3 linked regions of the Tribolium castaneum genome follow. The protein of the gene in region 1 purifies or fractionates together with the protein of each later gene. This does not show direct contact. Links are inferred from orthologs where the notes say so. Each region holds a gene or a part of one and is shown on either strand. Other genes may lie near its edges.

The links.
Region 2: the proteins of Cluap1 (region 1) and IFT57 purify together in Homo sapiens (affinity purification with mass spectrometry; 4 studies listed by BioGRID and IntAct, counting the BioPlex papers as one, with this or other methods). This does not show direct contact. The link is inferred for Tribolium castaneum from reciprocal best matches to the Homo sapiens genes CLUAP1 and IFT57.
Region 3: the proteins of Cluap1 (region 1) and IFT46 purify together in Homo sapiens (affinity purification with mass spectrometry; 3 studies listed by BioGRID and IntAct, with this or other methods). This does not show direct contact. The link is inferred for Tribolium castaneum from reciprocal best matches to the Homo sapiens genes CLUAP1 and IFT46.

What each region holds. Positions count from the first base shown.
Region 1 is NC_087399.1:4,924,461-4,928,046, reverse strand, and holds Cluap1 (clusterin-associated protein 1), read left to right. Parts: upstream 1-1,383; 5' UTR 1,384-1,409; coding exon 1,410-1,479; intron 1,480-1,528; coding exon 1,529-1,911; intron 1,912-2,056; coding exon 2,057-2,630; intron 2,631-2,673; coding exon 2,674-2,921; 3' UTR 2,922-2,951; downstream 2,952-3,586. Other genes in the region: chorion peroxidase, read left to right, coding at 1-1,223. UniProt on the Homo sapiens protein: Required for cilia biogenesis. Appears to function within the multiple intraflagellar transport complex B (IFT-B). Key regulator of hedgehog signaling.
Region 2 is NC_087402.1:750,014-754,154, reverse strand, and holds IFT57 (intraflagellar transport protein 57 homolog), read left to right. Parts: upstream 1-1,207; 5' UTR 1,208-1,222; coding exon 1,223-1,391; intron 1,392-1,438; coding exon 1,439-1,599; intron 1,600-2,834; coding exon 2,835-2,950; intron 2,951-2,991; coding exon 2,992-3,593; intron 3,594-3,804; coding exon 3,805-3,965; 3' UTR 3,966-3,987; downstream 3,988-4,141. Other genes in the region: apoptosis-resistant E3 ubiquitin protein ligase 1, read right to left, coding at 893-1,079. UniProt on the Homo sapiens protein: Required for the formation of cilia. Plays an indirect role in sonic hedgehog signaling, cilia being required for all activity of the hedgehog pathway.
Region 3 is NC_087400.1:5,250,853-5,254,215, reverse strand, and holds IFT46 (intraflagellar transport protein 46 homolog), read right to left. Parts: upstream 2,047-3,363; 5' UTR 1,947-2,046; coding exon 1,920-1,946; intron 1,867-1,919; coding exon 1,738-1,866; intron 1,694-1,737; coding exon 1,464-1,693; intron 1,423-1,463; coding exon 1,167-1,422; intron 1,117-1,166; coding exon 1,004-1,116; intron 961-1,003; coding exon 675-960; 3' UTR 635-674; downstream 1-634. UniProt on the Homo sapiens protein: Forms part of a complex involved in intraflagellar transport (IFT), the bi-directional movement of particles required for the assembly, maintenance and functioning of primary cilia. May play a role in chondrocyte maturation and skeletogenesis.

The DNA of each region.
Region 1 (3,586 bases):
TGCGGAAAGGTGACCGGTTTTGGTACGAAAACGGCGGATTTGAGTCGAGCTTCACTCCTGCGCAACTGCAACAAATCCGCCACGTGACCCTTGCGCATGTCCTTTGCCAGACTTTGACGGAGATTGAAACGATCCAACCTTTTGTTTTTCTGACTGTTGATGGCTTTCGCAACTCTCGATTGTCCTGCGACGATCCTGTCATTGACAACTTCGATCTTTCGCCGTGGGTTGAAGAGGACTTGAATGAAGTTCGGAGAGAGGGGAGGAAGAGACGGAAGTTGAAACGTACTACTACTAAAAAACCCAAAGTTGCGACTCCCGTCAAAGTTAAGGTTTACAACACGACGACTCACACGGTTAAAGTACAAACGAAACAGACTTACACTGACAGTTACGGCAACGTACCAGATAACATACCACAAAGACCGACTTTTGACAGTTACAATGACCGACGCACGACTAGACCTGACGTGACTTACCTATTTGGGGTTGTATCCGAGTCCACAACCCCTATTCCAACTCCCAAACCGTTCCAAGTCAATATCAAAATTCAGTACTACCCTCCGACGACTCCCCAACCGACCAGACGAACGCGACGCCCGTACGACTCGACGACCAAACAGAATTTTTACAGTGACGACTACTCGGTCTATAGACCGCAAAACTACTACCAAAGCAAATACGAAGACCAGCCTTTCACGTCCTCAAAACGCCCCTACATTTACTCAAACAACTACGTTTATTCAAAACGGCGACCGCAAGACGATGCTTTCGACAGACTTTACAGCGACGTCTACTCGACTCCTAATTTTGAAGACCAAGACGATTTGCCACGTCCTTTCAGCCACGTGGAAAAATTTTCGACCAACTACGAACACGACAAACTGGACTTCTACACCCCCAAAAAGCAATCCAGTGGTACCAAATTCGTGAAAATCTCAAGCGTGAAGGGCCAGGAGTATCTAGACCCGAGCGGAGCCACCGTTCAATTACACGTTTCGCAACGTGAAGGCGACTTAGAACTTGACGAAGGTGGTACCACTGACGATGTGAGACTGGTAGACCTGGAGGTACTACCCGGAGACTCAAAATGGCTAGTTTACAACGCCACGGAAGAGGAACCAGACGTGATGGTACTTCCCGATGTCAATCTCAACGTTTCCTGCTCGAGCGAACTTCCTAGACCTTTCCTTAGACGCAACTTGACAGTACCTGAGACTTGACCTGACCTGACTTAGTTTTAATTTATTCTAATGTTTCGAAAATTTTCGACTGGATTCTTAAAAGTACCGGCTAAAATACTGCCACCATGGGTGATATGTCTTATTTATTAATTTTTGTATTTATTGTTTTGGTGTAATAAAGCTATTTTATTAATCGATGCCTACTCTGATCCACCCTTCCCAGCCATGCGTTACGCGTTACTTAGCAACTGTTACATTCAAACAAGACTTAAAATGTCATTCAGAGACGTGCGAAGTGAGCTTTTTGGTTAAAATATTTTCGCAAAAATCATCCCTTTTTGTAGATTTTCTTGAAATGATGCGGGCTTTAGGATACCCGTCTTTAATTTCAATGGAAAGCTTTCGCACACCTAATTTTCCTTTAGTCGCCGATTTATTGGTTTGGTTAGCTAAGCGGTTCGACCCTGATGTCGATATACCGCCAGAGATTGATACTGAAGATGATCGGGTTAAATTGATTCGAAACGCGGCGCAATTTATGGCCCTGAAAGCCAACATCAAGCTGAATACAAAAAGGTTGTATCAAGCCGATGGTTACGCAGTTAAAGAACTGTTAAAAATTACGTCACTCTTGTATGACGCTTTGAATATGAATTTGGAGGAAAAGGAGGACGAAAATTTTGAGGAAGAAATGTTGAGTCTGAAAGACTTTGATTTAAGTGACAAGGTAAAGGCGCATCCTCTAGTTTCAACTAAGTTGATCAAGTTTTTACGTTGATTTTCTATAATCTTCTCTGGATGGCCTTGAGATGAACGCGCCTTAAGTCTTGTGTTAGGTAGGCAACTAATAATAACCCGGCGGTGTTTTGCAGATAAACGAATTAAAGTTATCCAGACAACTGGCAAGCGAAATAACTACAACCGGGGCCACACTTTTCGATCTTTTGGGCAAAGAAGTGGAACTGAAGGCGGCGAGACACAAAAGTGTTAGCCGCCAGTACGAAATCAACGAAGTTGAAGCCGGAATTAAGAAGGCAATCGAAGCTCTTAAAACCGAAATTGACGAAAGCAAACAGCTCATTGACAACGTCTCAGCAACTGAGGCCAATTTGGACAATAAGATCGAGCGCAGAAAAGTCGAAATAGATCGTTACGAAAAACGGCTCCAAACGTTGAAAAAAGTCAGGCCGGCCTTTATGGAAGAGTTTACCGCTCTTGAGGCCGAACTGGAGCAACTCTTTGTGCAGTACTCCACCAGAGTGCGCATTTTGAACCAACTGGAACGGCTGGTGTCGGAGACAGAGCGCCAACAATTGGAGAAACAACTCCAAATGGTTTCGCCTCGGATCGAAACCATTCCGCTGGAAGGAGGAACTGAGGCGTTTCTGGAGTTGGAGGAGAGCGAGGCGAGGCAAAAGCAGGAGAGACCGAGAGCTAGCACCGGGGGTAAGATAACGGGTTCCTATTTTTTTATTTTGTCTTTTTTTAGGGAGGACTAGAACTGCCAAGACGGCCAAAGCTTACGGCGGAATGCAACCACCGATGTCCGCAACCCCGTCCTTGAGCTCGGATTCGGAAGACGACGAGTTGTTTATTGACAAAGACGAGTCAGAGTTGATTCAGTCGGATGACGAGTCTTTGGGGTTGGAACTATCGGGGATGGAGTTGACCAAAAGGGTGCAGTCGGGAAAACCGGCCGGGAACAAGTTGAATGATAACAGCGATGATGATTTTTAAAAATGTCAAACCAATAAAAGCTACACTTTATTTTGAATTATTTAATGATGAATTTGCAAATGCAGCTGAGGTGAATGCACCGGCTGCCAGTCCCCAACTCCAAGTACCAAATTTGGGTTGTCGTTTCCCCACAAAAAATTAATAAGCCGGTGATAAAAACCGTTTAGCGAAATAATTAGGTATTGGTCAACCAATCGAAAAGCCAGAACAAAAACGCAAATTTCAATCAACCACCATTACGTAACTCGATTACATAACCCCAAGTATTGTATTCAAACCGCTGAGCAAATCTTTGTCATTAATTAACTCCGAATCGTCCTTTTACTTTTCATCCGGAAGAAATGGACGCTGTCACCATAACGGCCTTACCAGGGACTCGGCGAATTTCATGCAGAAAATTGCAAGGAATTATCCTTTCACCATGCAATTCCAATCATTGTGGTCAATTTCCAAATCGGCCCAATTGGGCAAATTACATAATCAAGGTCGGAAAATTTTTCTGCTGACCGTAACATTCACCTTGGCTATTGGTTCCGACCATTGATGCGCTCGTGGGATACTCTAAAGTGATGTTTATCGCTCGATGACTGGCCGAAATGTTTTTGCAAATTTCAGTGTCACATTTTTACGAATTATTGTAGTGTAACGTCTGGATAAACAACAAG
Region 2 (4,141 bases), on another chromosome or scaffold:
AAAAATCTTATATTTGAAACGATTTGGACTACGAAGCATTTAGTTTAATATGAAAATAAATAATTGCGAAAAATTCTGAGAAAAAAAATCACGTATAGAGAAAAACGTAAAGTCTTTAACAATTATACAATCTTTTTTTAGTCAAATAATCCCCAACTATAAAAATAAAAAATCACCAAAAATCATTCCAACACAAAATGCGTCCAAGTTGGCAGCATTTGAACACGCCAACCTACCTCGAACATATCCTTTGATAAACGATAACACGCGACCCTAATGAGTTACTTTAACGACTACAGTTTATGGTAGAATTTTAACCGCAACCATTTTAATTTTACTATTTGTTTGCCCAACAAATTCCACATTTACTCCCTGCTGTGAGATGACCAACTTTTATTATTGGTACACATTCAAAATAAAAAAATTTACAAAATCATGAAAAAAATCAAGTTGCGTGTTTTAGAACCGGCGCATCCACCATTTCGCCTTCAGTGGTATAATTACCATCGCCATTACACCCCAAAAAATGGCCTGGTGTTTTGAATTAATTCTTACCAGAGGAGGCACTAGCGGACGGCTGCATGGTCATGCCAATTGAGCAAATTTCAGTATCGTCATCCCACAACATTTTAACACAACACACTCACAACCAACAAAACAAACCCAGATATGTTACATTGATACGGAGCGAGTTTTCAAGGGGTTTCATGGTATTTCTGTGGTAGCAGGTGCTGGGTCGATGGGTGCTCGCCAGCGACTGCAGTGCCTGGCTTTGTTTGTAACCCTGGGCGACTGTATTCCGATACTGCGCCCTCGCACCCTTACATTTGCACCCTTAATCAGGCGCGTTTCGCTGCTTTTTCCAACGTCATCAGTCATTAATTTCACTCACCTTTGTCAACAAAACAGTCCTTGAACGGTGACAAATTGTTCCGTTCTAGCCATTCATCGACTTTACCATCCGGTTTATTGTCCGATTCAAATAATCCAGACCAAAAGCAAAAACACAGTCTTATCACACTAGCAACACTAACAAAAACCAAAAATACAACAGCGAATAGTTTGGCACAACGCTTCATAATACAATTTTACGAAATTTTCGTTACATTTTGGCTTTTTTTCGAGTTTGGTTGAGACGGCTGTGCCCACTTTTAGCAACCGGCCGCCATTACTGTTTTTGTCAAATGTGGCGCCCTCTAAGTGGGCGGAGCCGCACGTTACCATGACAATACGAATACAAATTGACGAAATTTTACGCCAAAAAATGTCAGAAGAGAGTGAACAAACGTTTTCGGCTTTTAGCCAAATGGAAGGGCTTCTAGATAAGTTGAAATTGTTGAATTACGAAGCTGAATTTTTCAAGGAAACTAAGCTCAAGCCCATCCATAGGAAAGTCCCCAGTTTAATAATTCAAATAGTAATGGAATTAATTACAGGTATTATTTTGTTGTTACCAAAAACCCGGGCGAACAATTTTATTTGTTTGCCTTATTGGCGGCCTATTTAATACAGAAGATTGGAATTAGTTTCCAAACGCCACAAGAGGATGATGACCCGAATGTGACCGTGGAAAAAATACTAGATGTGGTGCGAAAAAATGTAATTCATTATTGAAATTTGCACTATGGTTGGAAACAGAATATAAGTTGGTATTTTTACAAAACACAGTATGATACGTCATTTTTGTCACGAGTTTATAAAGCGAGTTGCATACTATATTTTTTCTACGACAGTAGAAGTAACATTTGCACATTTTTTTCGAAAAAAACATAAAAGTTTCAACGATTTCTCTCTTAAAAACCACCAAAATAGCATAAGAATAATTAAAATTAGATATTTTGTGGCCAATTTTATATAAAATGTTTGAACTAGAATTTTTTCTTGAAAACTTTAGACTATATATTAATTCCCAAATCGTTAAATTAAATCACCAAACCCCAAAAAAACAGCAAATTAGATCGAAAAAACGTTTTATTCTAACGTTATAGCATTTTTTTTAAATTTTTAACTCTAATTTTTCACCAAATTTTGTCAAAAAGCAGCAAATTACGGTAAAGAAGACAATATTCTGGAATTTTCCAAGTTCAAAAATTCCTTATTTTGAGAAACTCTGAAATAAATGAGTCCAAAAACTCGAAATTTTTGCTGAATTCCGTCATAAATTTCTTAAAAAATCACGAAATTAATGTGTTTTTCGTCAAAATTAATATAAAATATCTAAACTATCGTCAAATTTGTGCATCTTGGCACAAAATTGAGACAAAAAACACAAAAAAACAGCAAATTAGGTCAGGTCAGGTCAGGTCAAAAAAGTTTAATTCAAACATTTAAGCATTTTTTTTAATTTGAAACTTTAATTTTCCACCAAATTTCGTCGAAAAGCAACAAATTATGGTAAAATTAGCGTTGTTTTGGAATTTTTCAAGCGTGTAAGTTGATTTTTCAGGTAAAAATTCTCATATTTCGAGAAATTCTTAATAAAAAATTAAACCTCAATTTTAAAATAACACAGTTTTACATAGTTTTTTATGATTTTCTGCACGTTTTCGTCTTAGGAACACGAAATTTTTGGCAAATTTCACAATAAATCTCCCACAAAATCCCCAAATTTGTGAATTTTTTTAAATATTTCAGTTAAAAATAATAAAAAAATATCCAAACTATCGCTAAATTTGCGCCTTTTTCAAGCACTTTTAATTTTTCAGCTAGGAACTCATTTTTTTCGCTAAATTTTGCCAAAAAAAAACAAATATCAAAAAATAAACAGACGTAAAATCAAAAATTCTGTTTCCATCCACTAATTTATTGGCCAAGTATTAAAATCCGAATTCTAGGAAATTGCTGTTAATTTCCACGCCAATAAGCTGATGCAAGGTGTGGGCGAACAAGTGGTTTACATTTTGGACAGTCTGGCCAGCAAGGCTTTGGAGAAAAATTTCATGTTCCAAAAGTGAGTAAATCCCCCTTTGTTTGCTTTAAAAATTGTGTTAGGCCTTTGCTTCCCGAGGAAAAAGCGGAAGAAAGCGAGCTGATAAACGACGAATCCGAGATAAACCTTGACCGTGTGGAGGAGGAAATGTTGGCAGCTTACACGGACGATTCCGACGAGGAAAACCTTTTCCTCCTTGATAACGTGAAAGTGGCCCGGAAAGAGCCCCAAATGGCCGAAATCAAAATGAACGTAAATGAAGAAGCGTGGAAATTGGAACTGGAGCGAGTTCTCCCGCATTTAAAAATCACAGTTAAGAATGAAAACCGTGATTGGCGTTCGCATTTAGAGCAAATGAAGCAATACAAAGTCAGTGTTGACTCGTCACTTGGTGTGGTTAAAACACAGTTGGAGAAGTTGCATAAGGAGATAAGTCAAACGCTTGATAAAATCGCAAGTCGAGAGAAGTTTCTCAATCGGGAGCTGGAGAATAATTTGGATGAATATAGAATGCTGCAAGATCAGCTCTCGAAAATCAGAGATGCTTATAAGGGGATCAGCGAGGGGGTTGCTGAGAGGAATCGCGAGCTGTTCAGGCTAACGGATCGATTGGAGACAGTCAAACAGCAAATGGAGGAGAGAGGGAGTTCGATGACGGATGGAAGTATGTTTTATCCACTGGTTGGGTACTTTATGGTAAAACGGAATTTTATCGGCTGGGAAAATAAAGTTCGCAACCGTGTCTGTTTTTCTGTTTTTGACATTTTTTCAGTCAATATAATGGAAGGATAAAATTCACAATTATCTATCTTATCAAGCGTTTGAAATTATATTTTATCGTCTTGTAGATATTACAATAAATAATTTTTTTTCAGCCCCTTTGGTTAATATTAAGAAACAGTTGGGTAAGGTCAAGTCTGAGATTGTGGAAATGGATGTAAGGATTGGAATTTTGGAGTGTATTTTGCTCCAGTCGAAAATTCGAGACGAGAAAAATTTGGAAACTGAGTTTGGACAAGCGATTTCGGTTTTCTAGAACAATAAAAGTTTGTGATGTATTATGTTGTTTTATTGGTGGGAGTAATTTGATGTAAACTTGTGTAAAATGAGCCGGGGAATCGATTGGCGTTGAGAAAATCGACAAATTTCCAATAGTTTTTTAATTACGAATTTTTTAAAATTTCACCAATTTTTGCATTTATCAGCAATTTG
Region 3 (3,363 bases), on another chromosome or scaffold:
ATAAGATGTTTTTAATCTACATTTATTTATATTTTTCCTGTTTAAGAATTTTTACCACAATATTATACAGTCGCGTGGCTTCTATTTTTAAAACCTTGATCTTGTCTAAATTTGGTGATTGTTGTTTACTTAATTTATTATTATAATAATTTATTTATTTTGATCGAGAAACCAAACATAAATACAGGGTGAGGCATTTTTTTTTATAAAATCTAGTGCGTGTGCAGGAACATTATTAAAAAGTATTTGATAATTCGATATCATTTTAGTTTTGACAGTTCTGACCAGTTTGTGGTCATAATATAATAATAAATAATAAATAAAATAATAATAATAGTAAAAAATAATAATAAAAAAGTAATATAAGACTCAAACAAATTTTTGTCATCAAAAATCTGGGACTTTTGAATCATCCAGTATTTGTGGTCACTCAAGATCAAGTTGCCTACGCAATTACGCACCAATTATGCTATTTTTAAAATATGCACATTTTATCAAACACTTTTAATTATTATTTACTTGCACGAGCTTGCAATAACAGACTATAGGTAAGTATTTCACAGAAGGGCAACAGGAATTGTAAACATAGCTTCGGCAAGACCAAAAGGGCATTTAAATTAATCGAGATCAAGGCTAAGATAATTGATTTATTTTGTAATTATCAAGAGTGTCCTCTAATCCAGTACCAACTGATCGGCAACGTTTCCAATCGACTCGCTTTCCTCAACTTTCCCAAGTTGGCCGTTTTTGAACAACTGCGAGCTTTTGACAGCTGCAAACAGCGAAAACAGCAAATGCAACGCTTGGATTTTATTTTTGACCGGAATTTGAAACAACCCGCAAACTTCCTGCACATAATCACTCAAATTTCCCTTAGGTTCCGGAAATCCGTTCTCACTCAGCTGTTTTTCCATACTTTCGGGCCATTCTTGCATCAGCTCGTCCAAATCGGGCATCGGTCTGGAAAACTCAGTCAGGTCAAGTCACTCAAAGTCTAACCTACTCTGTGTAACGAACGGCCGGAAACGACTTGCTTTTATGCAACGCTGAAATGTCTTTAATCCACTTATCGATGATTTTGGCGTTTTTCTCAACATTGTCGATTTTTTTGACCACCTGTTGGTGTAAAGCATGACTGAGGGGTGGGGGAAAGCGGGGTTAGGTACCACAGTGCTGTCATTGGTCGTTTTGACCGACTCCGCCCTCAGTTGCAAGTGTAGCAAGGCCGGGTCACTCTGATTGGCCGCCGGTTCGTCCAAAACCACCAGTCCCAGCTGCTGATTGGCTACGAAGTCCGCGTCGGAGAGCAACGTTTTTGGCGGGAGGACTTTTAAAAACGCGTCAATGTCGCCAACCGCTGGGAGAAATTCAGGCACGAAGGGTTTGAACTTGTGGTCCAAACCCATTTGTTGGGGGATGTACCTAAATATTTAGCAGCCCTGTAAGTATTTCAATCGACTCACTTTGTTATGTATTGAAATATGTCTTTAATTTCGGGACTAACGTCCAAATTTTCGTACTCCTTCGGGTCATATTCACCCGGAATTGCATCCTTTGTTTTTTCTTCGTCACTGTCGTCTTCACTGTCACTCGATAAACCTGTTGGTTTACGTAAGACAGTTTGGCGGCCCGAAGGGCCGGCGCTGGGGATTTTAGATAAGTGTTTGTCAGGGTCGTAGTCGGTGGCCGAGGCCTGAAAATCTAAGTACGGTTCTGGACACAGGTTGGGGGTTTTACCTGTCTGGTGGCCATTTTGGCTAAATTGGTTTCGTAATCGTTGATTGTTTGCGAGTTTGAGCGTTCAGATAACGCGCCTCCGTATTTTTTGAGGATTTGCTCATCGAAATTTTCGCTCTCTTCTTCGTCCTTTCAAGTGAAAATTGGGTAAAAATTTATTAGGGGAAATACCTACAACTTACGTCAACAATTGAAAATGACCGTTGCATTTTTGTGTCAAAATAATGATTTTGATTTAGAAATGGCGTTGTTTTGTTTGTATTTCGTTACTTAGCAACCGAGTTGCGTGGATACTGAACAGGGGATGTAACTTGATTTGTTTTTTTATGCGTTAGTATGATTTTTAGAAAATGATACAATCAAAAAAACGACTGTAAGTCAATTTTTTTTAATGAAAAATGGAATAACTATTTTTTCAACAGCACGCAAAACTAGGTATAGAGGGTGTTTCAAAATTGACGAATTCCAAGTTCAGATGAAAATTGTTTCGGTAGTCCAATCGTAAAAAAATTAAATAATAAAAATAAAATAAAAAAATGCAGGGTGCTCAAAAACTGGCGCACCAACTCAGTGGTACGTTGTTGAGAAGCATGTGTAGATCACGGGAAAAATCTTGAAAAAATTCCTAAACCCATATTTAAAAAAATCTGGAGCTACAAACTTATTTTGTTAACTTCTTCAGTTTTCATTATTTTTTTATGTTTTTATGTTTCATACCAGGTAATCGTTCCGTAACAAAACGATGAATAATTATTTTAAAATTTACTATCAGATTCTAGCAGTTTTTTTAATTTAAAAAAATTAAAATTTATCCAAAAAATCCCAATGTGTAGATGTGCCAACACTGGGAATTATTTCCTAGGAAACCGTTTCAAAAATAATTTATTTTTATTGTTGCTCAAATTCTATTGCGATCAGGACTATTAGACAACGTTGCCACATATCATTTATCTAAAATCCGTTATTTATCAATAACTTTAATACAAAGAATTTTTTTACTATTTTTACCTTTATATGTAACCAGTTCTCTACCACACACCATTGAGTTAGTGCGCCAGTTTTTGAGCCCACTGTATAATAAAAAAATTAAATAAAAAAATATAATAAAAAATAAAATAAAAAAATAACATGAAAAAAAATAAAAGAAAAAATTAAAAAAATTAAAATAGCTTTCTTATGGAGCAAAAAATTTTTAAGTTTTTGTAATTTGCCGTTTCAATTAAAGAAAAATATAAGTTTTTTTTACTTCAAAATGAAGTTAATTTTTCGAAAAATTGTTTTACATTGTTGTTTTCCACAACCACCTACATCAAAATTAACAATAGACATTGAAATTTTTAACATGCTAACCAATGTGTCTTTGTGGGGAAGCCTCGAATTTTCTACATTTGGACTACTGAAGTGATTGTCTACAATGCTCTGAACTGGGAATTTGCCAATTTTGAGACACCCCCTGTATATGTTTTTGAGGAAATAAAAAAATCTGAACCACTCCATTTTAAAAAATCCTAGTTTTTTAGGGTTGACTGTACAAATTATAATACTTGTATCAAAAAACTTCATACACGATAGCATAATTTGTCTTATTTGTCTAATTAACATTTTTTCCTTCCTAATTAAGGAACA